Linked DNA regions of Kluyveromyces lactis. The protein of the gene in region 1 interacts with the protein of each later gene in a biochemical or structural test. Links are inferred from orthologs where the notes say so. Each region holds a gene or a part of one and is shown in the gene's direction. Other genes may lie near its edges.

Region 1 (4,342 bases):
AAAGCGTATTGGCGTATTAGCTCTACAAGGAGCGTTTGCAGAACACATTGCCCTTTTGAATAAAGCCATTGAAGATAATAAACATGATATAGAAGTAATAACAGTTAAGACTGCTCCACAGCTTTCCTCCTGTGATTCTTTAATTATACCTGGTGGTGAATCTACGACAATCTCGCTAATTGCGAAAAGAACAGGACTTTTTGATTCCTTGATTGAATTCGTTCACGACCCCACTAAAACGGTGTGGGGGACCTGTGCTGGATTGATTTTTTTAGCTAAACAACTCAGCAATGAGTCGAGCTTGGTAAATTCGCTCGACCTGTTAAAGGTAAAGGTGAGAAGAAATGCGTTTGGTCGTCAGGCTGAATCGTTCATCGAAACATGTGACTTTTCTTCATTTATTCCTGATTGCACAGGTTTCCAAGTCTACTTCATTAGAGCCCCAATTATAGAAGAGATATTATCTCAGGATGATGTAGAGACATTGTACACTTTAAAAGATGGATCAATAGTGGCAGTCAGTCAACAAGGACGCATTCTAGGAACGTCTTTCCATCCAGAATTGTCCGATAATGATGCCAGATTCCACAACTATTTTATTCAGAAATTTGTTCTAAACAATTGATGCAAATAAATATCTATCGTTTGTATGTATTAAGTCTGAATAAACGCTGAATTCAGAACGAAATTCTTTTATCCAATTCGCCCCTTTGCGTCATTAATTATTCAATAATAAATGCGTTTAAGAAAAAAAGAAAAAATTGACACTGACGGGATTCGAACCCGTGTCACTCCCTCGCCTATGATCCTGAAGATCATTGTTATGGAAGGGGAGTATCCTAAACCACTAGACTACAGTGTCCAATGCCTGTTCAGTGTTGGAGCAGATTCTCAATATACCTTATTGTTGATGTGGCTGGTATTTCCAGTCACGTGCTGTTAAATTAAGATCTTTGGTATCTGATGAATCCATAGCGTTTATTAGCTATATATCCAGTAGTGTATGTTGATGCACCTGGGGATCTGGCATGACTGTATTGATGGTCCTTGTCCAGATCTAATGCCTCCTTATATAATAATTCAGATTAGTTAATGATATTTCATTCCGAAACACCCGTTATGTATCATCTTGATACTTAACCGCCTATTACATTGGTAGTTACCCGATCATAGTTTATGATCCATTTAAACACTTACATCGGAAAGCAGCTAACTTCGTATCAAGCCTTAGTAAAGACGAGCGTACATTGGATCCATTTAAATACTTTGAACATTTCGAAGAAGGAAGCTTACCGTTGCATTTAAGTTAGCATGTTAGGGTAACGAGTTGAAATTTGTTTATGTTATACACTGTCTATGAAACGCGTCCTTCTTTAATAAAAAAAAATGAATATCATAAACACATACAAAATTATACAAAACAAGTTAAGTTTACGCGTCCTGTATCAGAAAGCTCTAGGAATAAGAGTAATTACAAGGGCAAGAAGACAGACTACAACACTGTTGAAATGGTTCACATCAAAACTGTTATAATCAGTGGCTTCAAGACTTACAAGAATCGGACCGTGGTGGAGAATTTTTCACCCCATCACAATGTTGTTGTCGGTTCCAACGGTTCTGGTAAGTCGAACTTCTTTGCAGCTATTAGGTTCGTCTTAAGCGAAGAGAATTCAAACTTAAAACGTGAAGATAGGAAGGGTTTTATCTACCAAGGTGCAGGGCAAGTAATGAGTGCATTCGTTGAAATTATCTTTGATGATCCTGAGAACTTAATGCTTGCACCGTTAAGAAACGATACTGGAGAGGTCAGAATTAGAAGGACAGTGGGATTGAAGAAGGATGAATACATGATTAATGACAAGAACTCAACAAGACAAGACGTTAGAAGAGTTTTAGAAAATGTAGGATTTTCAACTTCGAATCCTTACAACATTGTTCCGCAAGGGCGAATAATATCCTTGACCAACGCGAAAGATTTAGAACGGCTGCATCTATTAGAGGACGTTGTAGGTGCAAAATCATTCGAAAACAAACTGAAAGAGTCTTTGAAAAAGATGGAGGCAGCAGAGAGAGATAGAACGAAAATCACTAATGAATTAAACGAACTTGACAAACGGTTGAGCGAATTGTCCGATGAAAAGGAAGAATTGGAAAAGTACAACAATCTAAATAGAGATCGAAAAGTTTTACAGTTTTGCTTATACGATAGGGAATTGAACGATATTACGAACCAAATTGAACAACTTGAAGGTGAGTACAATTCAATTATTGAAAATTCTTCTGAGTATGTTAACGAATTGGAAAAAAGAGAAGTGCTTGCAGTAGAGCTCAACAAGAGAATGAATTCTTTAGAAAGTGAGATTAAAATAAAACAGTCTACTGATCTACCACAGTTAAAGGCATCGAAGCTAGAAGTTGCTGGGGAATTGGCGGATTTAGACACTAGGTTAAACGATATTCAAATGCAATTGGATGCTTCACAAGCGCATTTGGAATCAAATGTCAAAGAAATCGGAGAAGTAAAGAAACAAATTGAGATTAACTGCTCGTCAATTGCCGAGGTACAACCAAAATTCCAAAAACTATCAAATGAAGCAGAAATCTTAAAAGTAGAAATCGAGAAACTCACAAAGAGGCAAAGAGAATTATTATCAAAAAAAGGGAAGTATGAAGATTTTCGTACGGTAAACGAAAGAAATGACTGGATCCAAGAACAAATTAACTTATTAAACCAGTCGCTGAATAAATCTAATATATTAAAAGATCAACTGACTAGCCAACTTAGTACACTACAGCATGATTTAGAGAATTTAAATGCTGAAATTGAAGACCTAGCCGATTCAGTAAATGGAATGGGATCTGTTGCTCAGCAGGAAGACTTGCAAAATAAAGTAACACAAGCCAAGAAGGAATATTTGACGAAAATCGATCAAAGAAAACAGCTATGGAGAACTGAACAAAGACTACAAACAATTTCCACCTCTCTCGATAATGATGTCAAAAGGTTTGAGTCAGATATGAATGAAACAATTGATCGTTCTTTAGCACTTGGTCTACAAAATGTCAATGACATTGTTAATAGGTTAAATTTACATGAGCATGTTTTTGGCCCTGTAGGCGAGTTGATAAAGGTAAGCGATAAATACAAAATATGTGCAGAAGTCGTGGGAGGCAACTCCCTTTTCAATGTTGTTGTTGACAATGAAGAGACCGCAAGTTTATTAATTAAGGAATTGTTTGCAACGAAAGGTGGAAGGGTAACATTTATTCCTCTCAATAAGTTGCATGTGGATACCAACTTTACGTATCCAAATAACTTGGAGAAAAATCAATGTACACCTCTAATCAAAAAGATCAAGTATGACGTGAAATTTGAGAAAGTGATCAAGCAGGTTTTTGGCCGAACTCTTGTCGTTAAATCCTTGATTGATGGTGCTTCCCTTGCCAAAGAATACAAACTAAATGCTATAACTTTAGACGGTGATCGTGCAGACAGTAAAGGTGTTTTATCTGGTGGTTACTTGGATCAGTACAAGAGTAATAGACTGGATACTTTACGAGACTTCAAACAATCGAAAAGAGAATATAAAAAAATTCAAGTAGAGCTTCAAGAGATTAAACAGGCGCTCCAGAGTATCGAACAGGAAATTGATGGCCTAAACAATGTTGTTAAGGATGCTGCAGCAGAGAGAGATGCGTATGAAGCAGGCATAGAAAAGGCTAGGAGTCAGTTGAAAGCAAAGCTGTCTCAGAAAATTACGATTGATGACTCTATAAAAGCTTTGAAGGCGAGACTAAACAAAATCGATACGGAGCTTGAACAATGTAGAGAACGTACAAATGCCTTTGCTGCGGATATATCTAAACCATTTGTTAATGAACTAGATGCAGATGAAAAAGCCGAGTTACTTGCTATATCCAATAGCATTCAAACGAAAGAAACGTCTTTGAATTTCAATTTGTCAACTTTGAATGAACTTTCTTCTAAGTTAGACGAGCTCAACGCTGAATTAAATTCAAAGCTACTTCCTAAGTTACATGAGCTGGAGCGAAAGCCCTCTTCTTCACACAGTTTACAAATCAGTCAGATCAACAACCAAATGGAACTTGTTCTGATGGAGAAACAAACTGTGACAAGGACAAAAGAACAAGTAGAATCTGAATTATCAGTACTAGACAGCAGTATCAAATCCCTTAGAGGAGAGAAAGCAACCCTTCAAAAGGATTTAGATAAAGCCAACTCACAACAACGATCACTAGTCAAAAGGATTACGAACTTTCAGAAGAATGCAGAAAAAGTTTTATTGAAAAAGTCAACTCTGAACTCAAGAAAGGAGGAATT
Region 2 (3,241 bases), on another chromosome or scaffold:
GCAAAATGCATATGAAAGAAACAGCAAATGGGATTTAAATACAGAATCATAAATAAGAAAAGGTTATACTCCTACTTTCTGTTAGCACTCAATTGGTTCACTATCTGATCTACCATATTGTCTGGCTTTATTAAATCTTTAGTGGAGTCGAAAAGAAGCAAGTAGAAATCATGTCAGAATTAACACATCCTACGATTGTTGACGGATGGTTCAGAGAAATCTCTGATACCATGTGGCCAGGTCAAGCCATGACTTTGCGTGTGGAAAAGATCTTACACCATGAAAAATCTAAGTACCAAGACGTTTTGGTTTTCAAGTCTACTGATTATGGTAACGTTTTGGTTTTGGATAACGCTATTCAAGTCACCGAGCGTGATGAGTTCTCATACCAGGAGATGATTGCCCATTTGGCATTAAACTCTCACCCAAACCCAAAGAAGGTTTTGGTTATCGGTGGTGGCGATGGCGGTGTCTTGAGAGAAATTGTCAAGCATGATTCCGTCCAAGAAGCTTGGTTATGTGACATTGACGAAGCTGTTATCAGAGTTTCCAAGGAGTACTTACCAGAGATGGCGAAGTCTTATTCCCATCCTAAGGTCAAGACTCATATCGGTGATGGATTCCAATTCTTGAGAGACTACCAAAACACTTTTGACGTTATCATCACTGACTCATCTGACCCGGAAGGTCCAGCCGCCTCTTTGTTCCAACAATCTTACTTCGAATTGTTGAACGGTGCCTTGACTGAGAAAGGTGTCATTTCCACTCAAGCTGAAAGTATGTGGATCCACTTGCCAATCATCAAGGAATTGAAGAAGGCTTGTAAGGAGGTCTTCCCAACTGTTGGTTATGCCTACACCACCATTCCAACTTATCCAACCGGTCAAATTGGTTTTATGGTGTGCTCTAAGGATGCCAATGTGGATGTCACTAAACCGTTGAGATCAATCTCAGAAGAAGAAGAAGAAGCCAAGTACCGTTACTACAACAAGAAAGTGCACGAAGCCTCTTTCGTACTACCTACTTGGGTCGCTAAAGAATTGGACCTGTGACAACTTAACGAATTGATAATCCCTCTTTTTTCTTTATGCGGTCTTGTAGATCGCTATTTCTATTTTATTCCTGACTTATCAACTATTAACGTTATCACTCATAGATTTAGGCTAGACTAATTAATTCTTCAGTCTACTATTAGGATCAATGTTCGTTTGACACAACATATTAATAAGTACTAGTGTAGCCATAGATACCGCCTTATTATCTATATAAATCTCAATCCTTTTTCTTCCTTTTCGGACATTTTTGATTCTTCTTCTCTTTGCATTAAGACATATCGAATGAATCTCTTACCTTAAAAACACCAATGCTTTGAACTCGAATAAACTCAATTGATAAGAAAAGGCAAATACGGATGAAGTTTATCATCAGTACATCTTCATTACAATGTCAAATTGCCGATATTCTGCCTTGCAATAACGGCAAAAAAGCTCAATTGATTTTTGCATTGATTCGTGCGTATGGTTTACTAGATTATTTTGATCATGTCAATGATGCTACGGTTGCAACAATAAAAGATATGACGAAGTTCCACACATTAGATTACGTGAAGCATCTATTGACAGAAGAATTTACTTACAATTCCACTGAATATATTGAGAAAGAAGACCAAGTACTTCGACTGGCTGAAGTTGCAAGGAAATTTTACCAAGACTCGGATGTTGAGGATGACAACCAGGTCTTGTGGTTCGATAATGAATATGAGCTGTTCCGGTATTTCAAAGAAGAATTCAACAACGCTAATAGTGAAATCGACGATGTTTCGAAGTTAGACGATAAGGATTTTACTAAGTACGGATTACAACATGATTGTCCTAAATTTCCGTTTCTTTCAATGTATCTTCAAGTAATAGTGGGTGGAACCCTCTCTTTATTACAACATATCGACCATCAGACACCATCAATTGCGATTAATTGGGATGGTGGAAGGCACCATGCGCTCAAACATTATGCTAGTGGATTCTGCTACGTAAATGACATCGTATTGTTAATTCAAAGTCTAAGACGTAAAGGTTGGAAGAGAGTAACATACATTGATTTTGATCTTCATTATGGTGATGGTGTCGCAAAAGCATTCAGATTCTCTGAGAACGTACAAACTATTTCTGTTCATTTATATGAACCGGGATTTTTCCCTGGAACCGGTTCTTTGGAAGAAACTAGAAACTCTAAACAGATGGTCAATTTACCGGTATTGCACGGCATGGATGATAAGTATTTGCTCGAGCTAATTTCAAGTGTCATCACTCCATTGATTGAGACATTTAATGCTGAGTGTATAGTTATCCAATGTGGATCAGATGGGTTAAGTGGTGATAAATACAACGAATGGCAGCTTTCAATCCGTGGACTGACGCACGCCATAATTTCGATCATGGATATGTTCAGGGACAAACAAGTATTTCTCCTGGGTGGTGGAGGGTACAACGAATTGCTTGTTTCAAGGTTTTACACATATCTAACATCCAAAGTCTTAGAACTTTACGGAAACAATATTTCTTCTTCTATTCCAGAAGACGATAGTGAAGTTTTATTACGAGATCATGAATTCATTGAGCTATACAAGGATGAGAATTATAGATATTGGTCCTACGACAATGACGGAGAACAAAAAACGAGTCTGCAAAATGACAATAAGAAACTCCACATTGAAGAGCTGAAGCAATTTTATCACTTATGAATAATCTTCAATTCAGACAACGCGGATTCCCAACTTTCATTCCATCTATTTTTGCTTTCTCTAAGGGCACCTCTTTTGATCTCCTGATGAACCTGTTCATCTTTCACCGAAAATATAAGAGCTTCATGCAACTCACGTCTATCTGCAAATTTCAACCCATTAACATTCTGTTGAACAAGTTCGTCCAATACGGGATAATTCATACAGATGACAGGTAACCCAGAACCGAACATATCAAGGATTTTCATAGGTAAATCAAGCCCCGAGCTTGAAGTATGTAACGATACCCCATAGTCACACAACCTTAATAGCTTAGGATAATCTTCTGATGATAGCCATAAGAATTCGACCTGGACGCGGTCCCATTTGAAATCCTGTACCTGTTTTACAATCTTTTCTTGCAATGGGCCCTTCCCAGTGATGAAACACAAGATTCGAGGCAAAGTCTGATCAAACTTTTGGAATGAATTTTCATATATCTTGAAGGATCCGATTAATACTGAG
Region 3 (2,960 bases), on another chromosome or scaffold:
TGAATACTGTCTCGGTGCGATGGCACGTTCATCGAGATCAATTACTCTAACATCATGCTTGAATATTCCCAGTAGTTTGGATTCGATTTCTTTGGTGGTTTGCAAAGCACCAGCATAATGACCGCCAGCAATGTTGATAACTATACGATGCAACATTACTTTGCCTTAACTAATGATCAAAACAGTATTTGAAAGACCTGCTGTTCGCCGTGTTTGTATTCAACAGTTGTCTCCCTGGTCGTCTAAAAGTGCATATTTTTCTTTTATGACTTAATTCATCAATATCCCGAATGAACAATGATTAGGCGATTACTGCTTGAATAGTCGTGATAATAAATATTGAGGGTTGAAAACTGTAACGCAGCAATGGTCTAATCAAAAAATACGATCTCTCATAAAAGGAGCTGGGACTCTTGGCATACACATAGTAATTTTATGTACTGAGAAATTAATGCTGAAATGGCTTTTCAAAAAGTCAAAAAATTATGGACGAGTCCGGAGTCGAACCGAAGACCTCTCCCATGCTAAGGGAGCGCGCTACCAACTACGCCACACGCCCAATTAATATGTTATGTTGTGATATGGTTTGGATGATAGTTGATTGATTAATCGCCTGATGAGGGATCGTTGATATCAAACAATATAACGAATATAATATAATCTATTTAGCTAGATCGTTGAGTATATGCGTCCTTGCTCTTCTTTCTCTTGTTGCATCCAACCTCCCCAAGAGGTCGCAACATAGCTCAGCCTTTTATACTCGACTTATATACTCGGATGGTCGTCAGACTTCGTCATGGCAACTCATTGCCTCCATGCCCTTGTAGGTTTTGTGCAGCTACCGTCCTCCACGCGCACTCAAGACCATCACGTGACCGTCTATGATCCATCTAGGTCATCCCTCTGGATACCACAGGATCCATATGCCCAGTCACTGACGTCTTGGAACTCTGCCGTGTGCTGGCTAGCTCACATGACCTCTCGTCTGGCTTGTCTTAAGTCTATCTTACGACATGTTATAAGAATGTAGAACTAGTATACAGACTGTTGGAACTAGTCATAACGCATGACCGGGTAATACAAATATAATAGGCGGTTAATAATGGTTTTGTGTCACTGACACATAACAAAGTATATAAACCAGTACTCAGATCTAATCTACTAATTAGTAGGAATCAGATCTACAGACACCAGGTGCATCTAATTATTCTAGGAGATATATAGCTAATCAAGATGGATTCTTCTAATAAAGATCTGATAAGATCAAAGCCACGTGACATGTATAGTCACATACCACAACATGGTAACCATGTGACAAACTCCATTAGCTCTAAGGAAGAATACACGATTTTCTCGTAATTGGTTCCCTATTGCATAAACTGGATACACAGAGGCATATATGGTAAATGCAGCATCTCTTTGCTTACCGTTCTTACCAGTTTTCTCTCATGAACAATACCCTTGTTTCAACCTGAAATATAAATCGATCTACACTTTCTAACGTGTAATTATCAAAAGTAAAAACGCGTCAGTAAATTGCCACCAATCAAAGCTCTCCAATCAACCGTACATGTCCAAATATCGGTCACCAAAGACTAAAAAGTCTATTCAAGCCACGTTACAGTTTAAATCGACCCCAACTCTGGTAAAATGTCCGAAGTGTTCGATAACTTATAGCACTAATTCTCCTAGTGATCTGGTGCAGCACAAAAGATATCATGACTTACATTTAAATGGGAAAAGGTGGTCTCAGAGTTGGGGCGACATCATTAATAGAGTAGAGGCTCTTAAAACAGAGAAACAACTGAAATATTCAATGGTGTCTGAAAAGGATAAAAAAGTGATGTCCTTTCAACTCCCGTCCCAAACCTTATATGAAGAAGATGAGTACATTGTCATGATTTCTCCAAAGAAAGCTAACGAAGTGAAGGCTGCACTCGACTTGATGTCAATTGTAAATGAAGAATTAAATGCACCTCATGATGAGAATGCTTTTTGGTCTGAGGTGGATAAGTCCGGCAAATCACAAGGTAAAGCGTTTATCTACGTAAAGAAGAATAGAGCTGTTGGAGTTATTACAATCGAGTACATCGAGAATACCAACCGAGGTAAATGGATGGTATTGGACACCAAAGCCATAGTACCGAATGTAGTACCGGACGTCAAACTGGGAATATCGAGAATATGGGTATGTAGAAATCAAAGGCAACATGGCATTGCTACAAGACTACTAGAGGTCGCAAGGAAGAAATCAATATACGGATGTATTGTCAATAAATGGGAACTGGCATGGTCACAACCAAGCCAAAGCGGTAGCATATTGGCTAAAAGCTATAATGCTGCAAAACATCGCTCAGGAAAACTTTTAATACCGTGTTACATATGATACATATTAGTATGCAAGTAGATGAATAACGAAACGAATAAAAGAGAAGCATCCAACTGCATAGACGGTTGCAACCAAAGCGTGTAATTATGTGAAATTGATATGAAAGCTGATTTGGTTTCTACTTGCAAAACTGTAACCAACACAGGCAAAATATTCGTACAACGGTCAATCTCTATCTCTTACTCGACGATATCTTTCTGACCCCACTGGTGGTTCTTTTTCCGTTTGATGACGCCAGACGTCTGTTTTTAGGCAGAATTTGTCTCAATGCGTCTGTGTCTTCTATAGACGAGTTGTTAACTTGTCTTGTGTCATTTGGAGACGTTTTCATGCTATTATCAGTATTCATGGAATCATCTATGTCACTGTTATTATCGGTAATCTTGGCGGCAACCTGGTTTTCCTTCTTGTTGATGTCTTCGATTGTGTTGCCTCCATGTCCCTTTCTTGGTTGACCAGGAGATTGTTGAGGTACTGCGGTATGCGAGTTCTTTTGAAAGCCTATTGTTTTCTTTGATACAGACGGAGGAGTCATTGTATGATCATCTTGGGTATATTCTGCTTCGTAATT

What was found.
Region 2: of the proteins of SMC3 (region 1) and HOS1, one has a biochemical effect on the other in vitro, tested with the Saccharomyces cerevisiae proteins (2 studies listed by BioGRID, with this or other methods). The link is inferred for Kluyveromyces lactis from reciprocal best matches to the Saccharomyces cerevisiae genes SMC3 and HOS1.
Region 3: of the proteins of SMC3 (region 1) and ECO1, one has a biochemical effect on the other in vitro, tested with the Saccharomyces cerevisiae proteins (3 studies listed by BioGRID). The link is inferred for Kluyveromyces lactis from reciprocal best matches to the Saccharomyces cerevisiae genes SMC3 and ECO1.

What each region holds. Positions count from the first base shown.
Region 1 is NC_006037.1:22,865-27,206, reverse strand, and holds the start of SMC3 (cohesin subunit SMC3), read left to right. Parts: upstream 1-1,508; coding exon 1,509-4,342. Other genes in the region: KLLA0_A00352g (pyridoxal 5'-phosphate synthase subunit PdxT), read left to right, coding at 1-625. UniProt on the Saccharomyces cerevisiae protein: Involved in chromosome cohesion during cell cycle and in DNA repair. Central component of cohesin complex. The cohesin complex is required for the cohesion of sister chromatids after DNA replication.
Region 2 is NC_006038.1:821,218-824,458, forward strand, and holds HOS1 (histone deacetylase), read left to right. Parts: upstream 1-1,411; coding exon 1,412-2,737; downstream 2,738-3,241. Other genes in the region: SPE3 (spermidine synthase), read left to right, coding at 171-1,052; ALG1 (chitobiosyldiphosphodolichol beta-1,4 mannosyltransferase), read right to left, coding at 2,728-3,241. UniProt on the Saccharomyces cerevisiae protein: Responsible for the deacetylation of lysine residues on the N-terminal part of the core histones (H2A, H2B, H3 and H4). Histone deacetylation plays an important role in transcriptional regulation, cell cycle progression and developmental events.
Region 3 is NC_006038.1:586,017-588,976, reverse strand, and holds ECO1 (Eco1p), read left to right. Parts: upstream 1-1,570; coding exon 1,571-2,386; downstream 2,387-2,960. Other genes in the region: putative uridine kinase DAS2, read right to left, coding at 1-156; phosphoprotein phosphatase CDC14, read right to left, coding at 2,562-2,960. UniProt on the Saccharomyces cerevisiae protein: Required for establishment of sister chromatid cohesion during S phase but not for its further maintenance during G2 or M phases or for loading the cohesin complex onto DNA.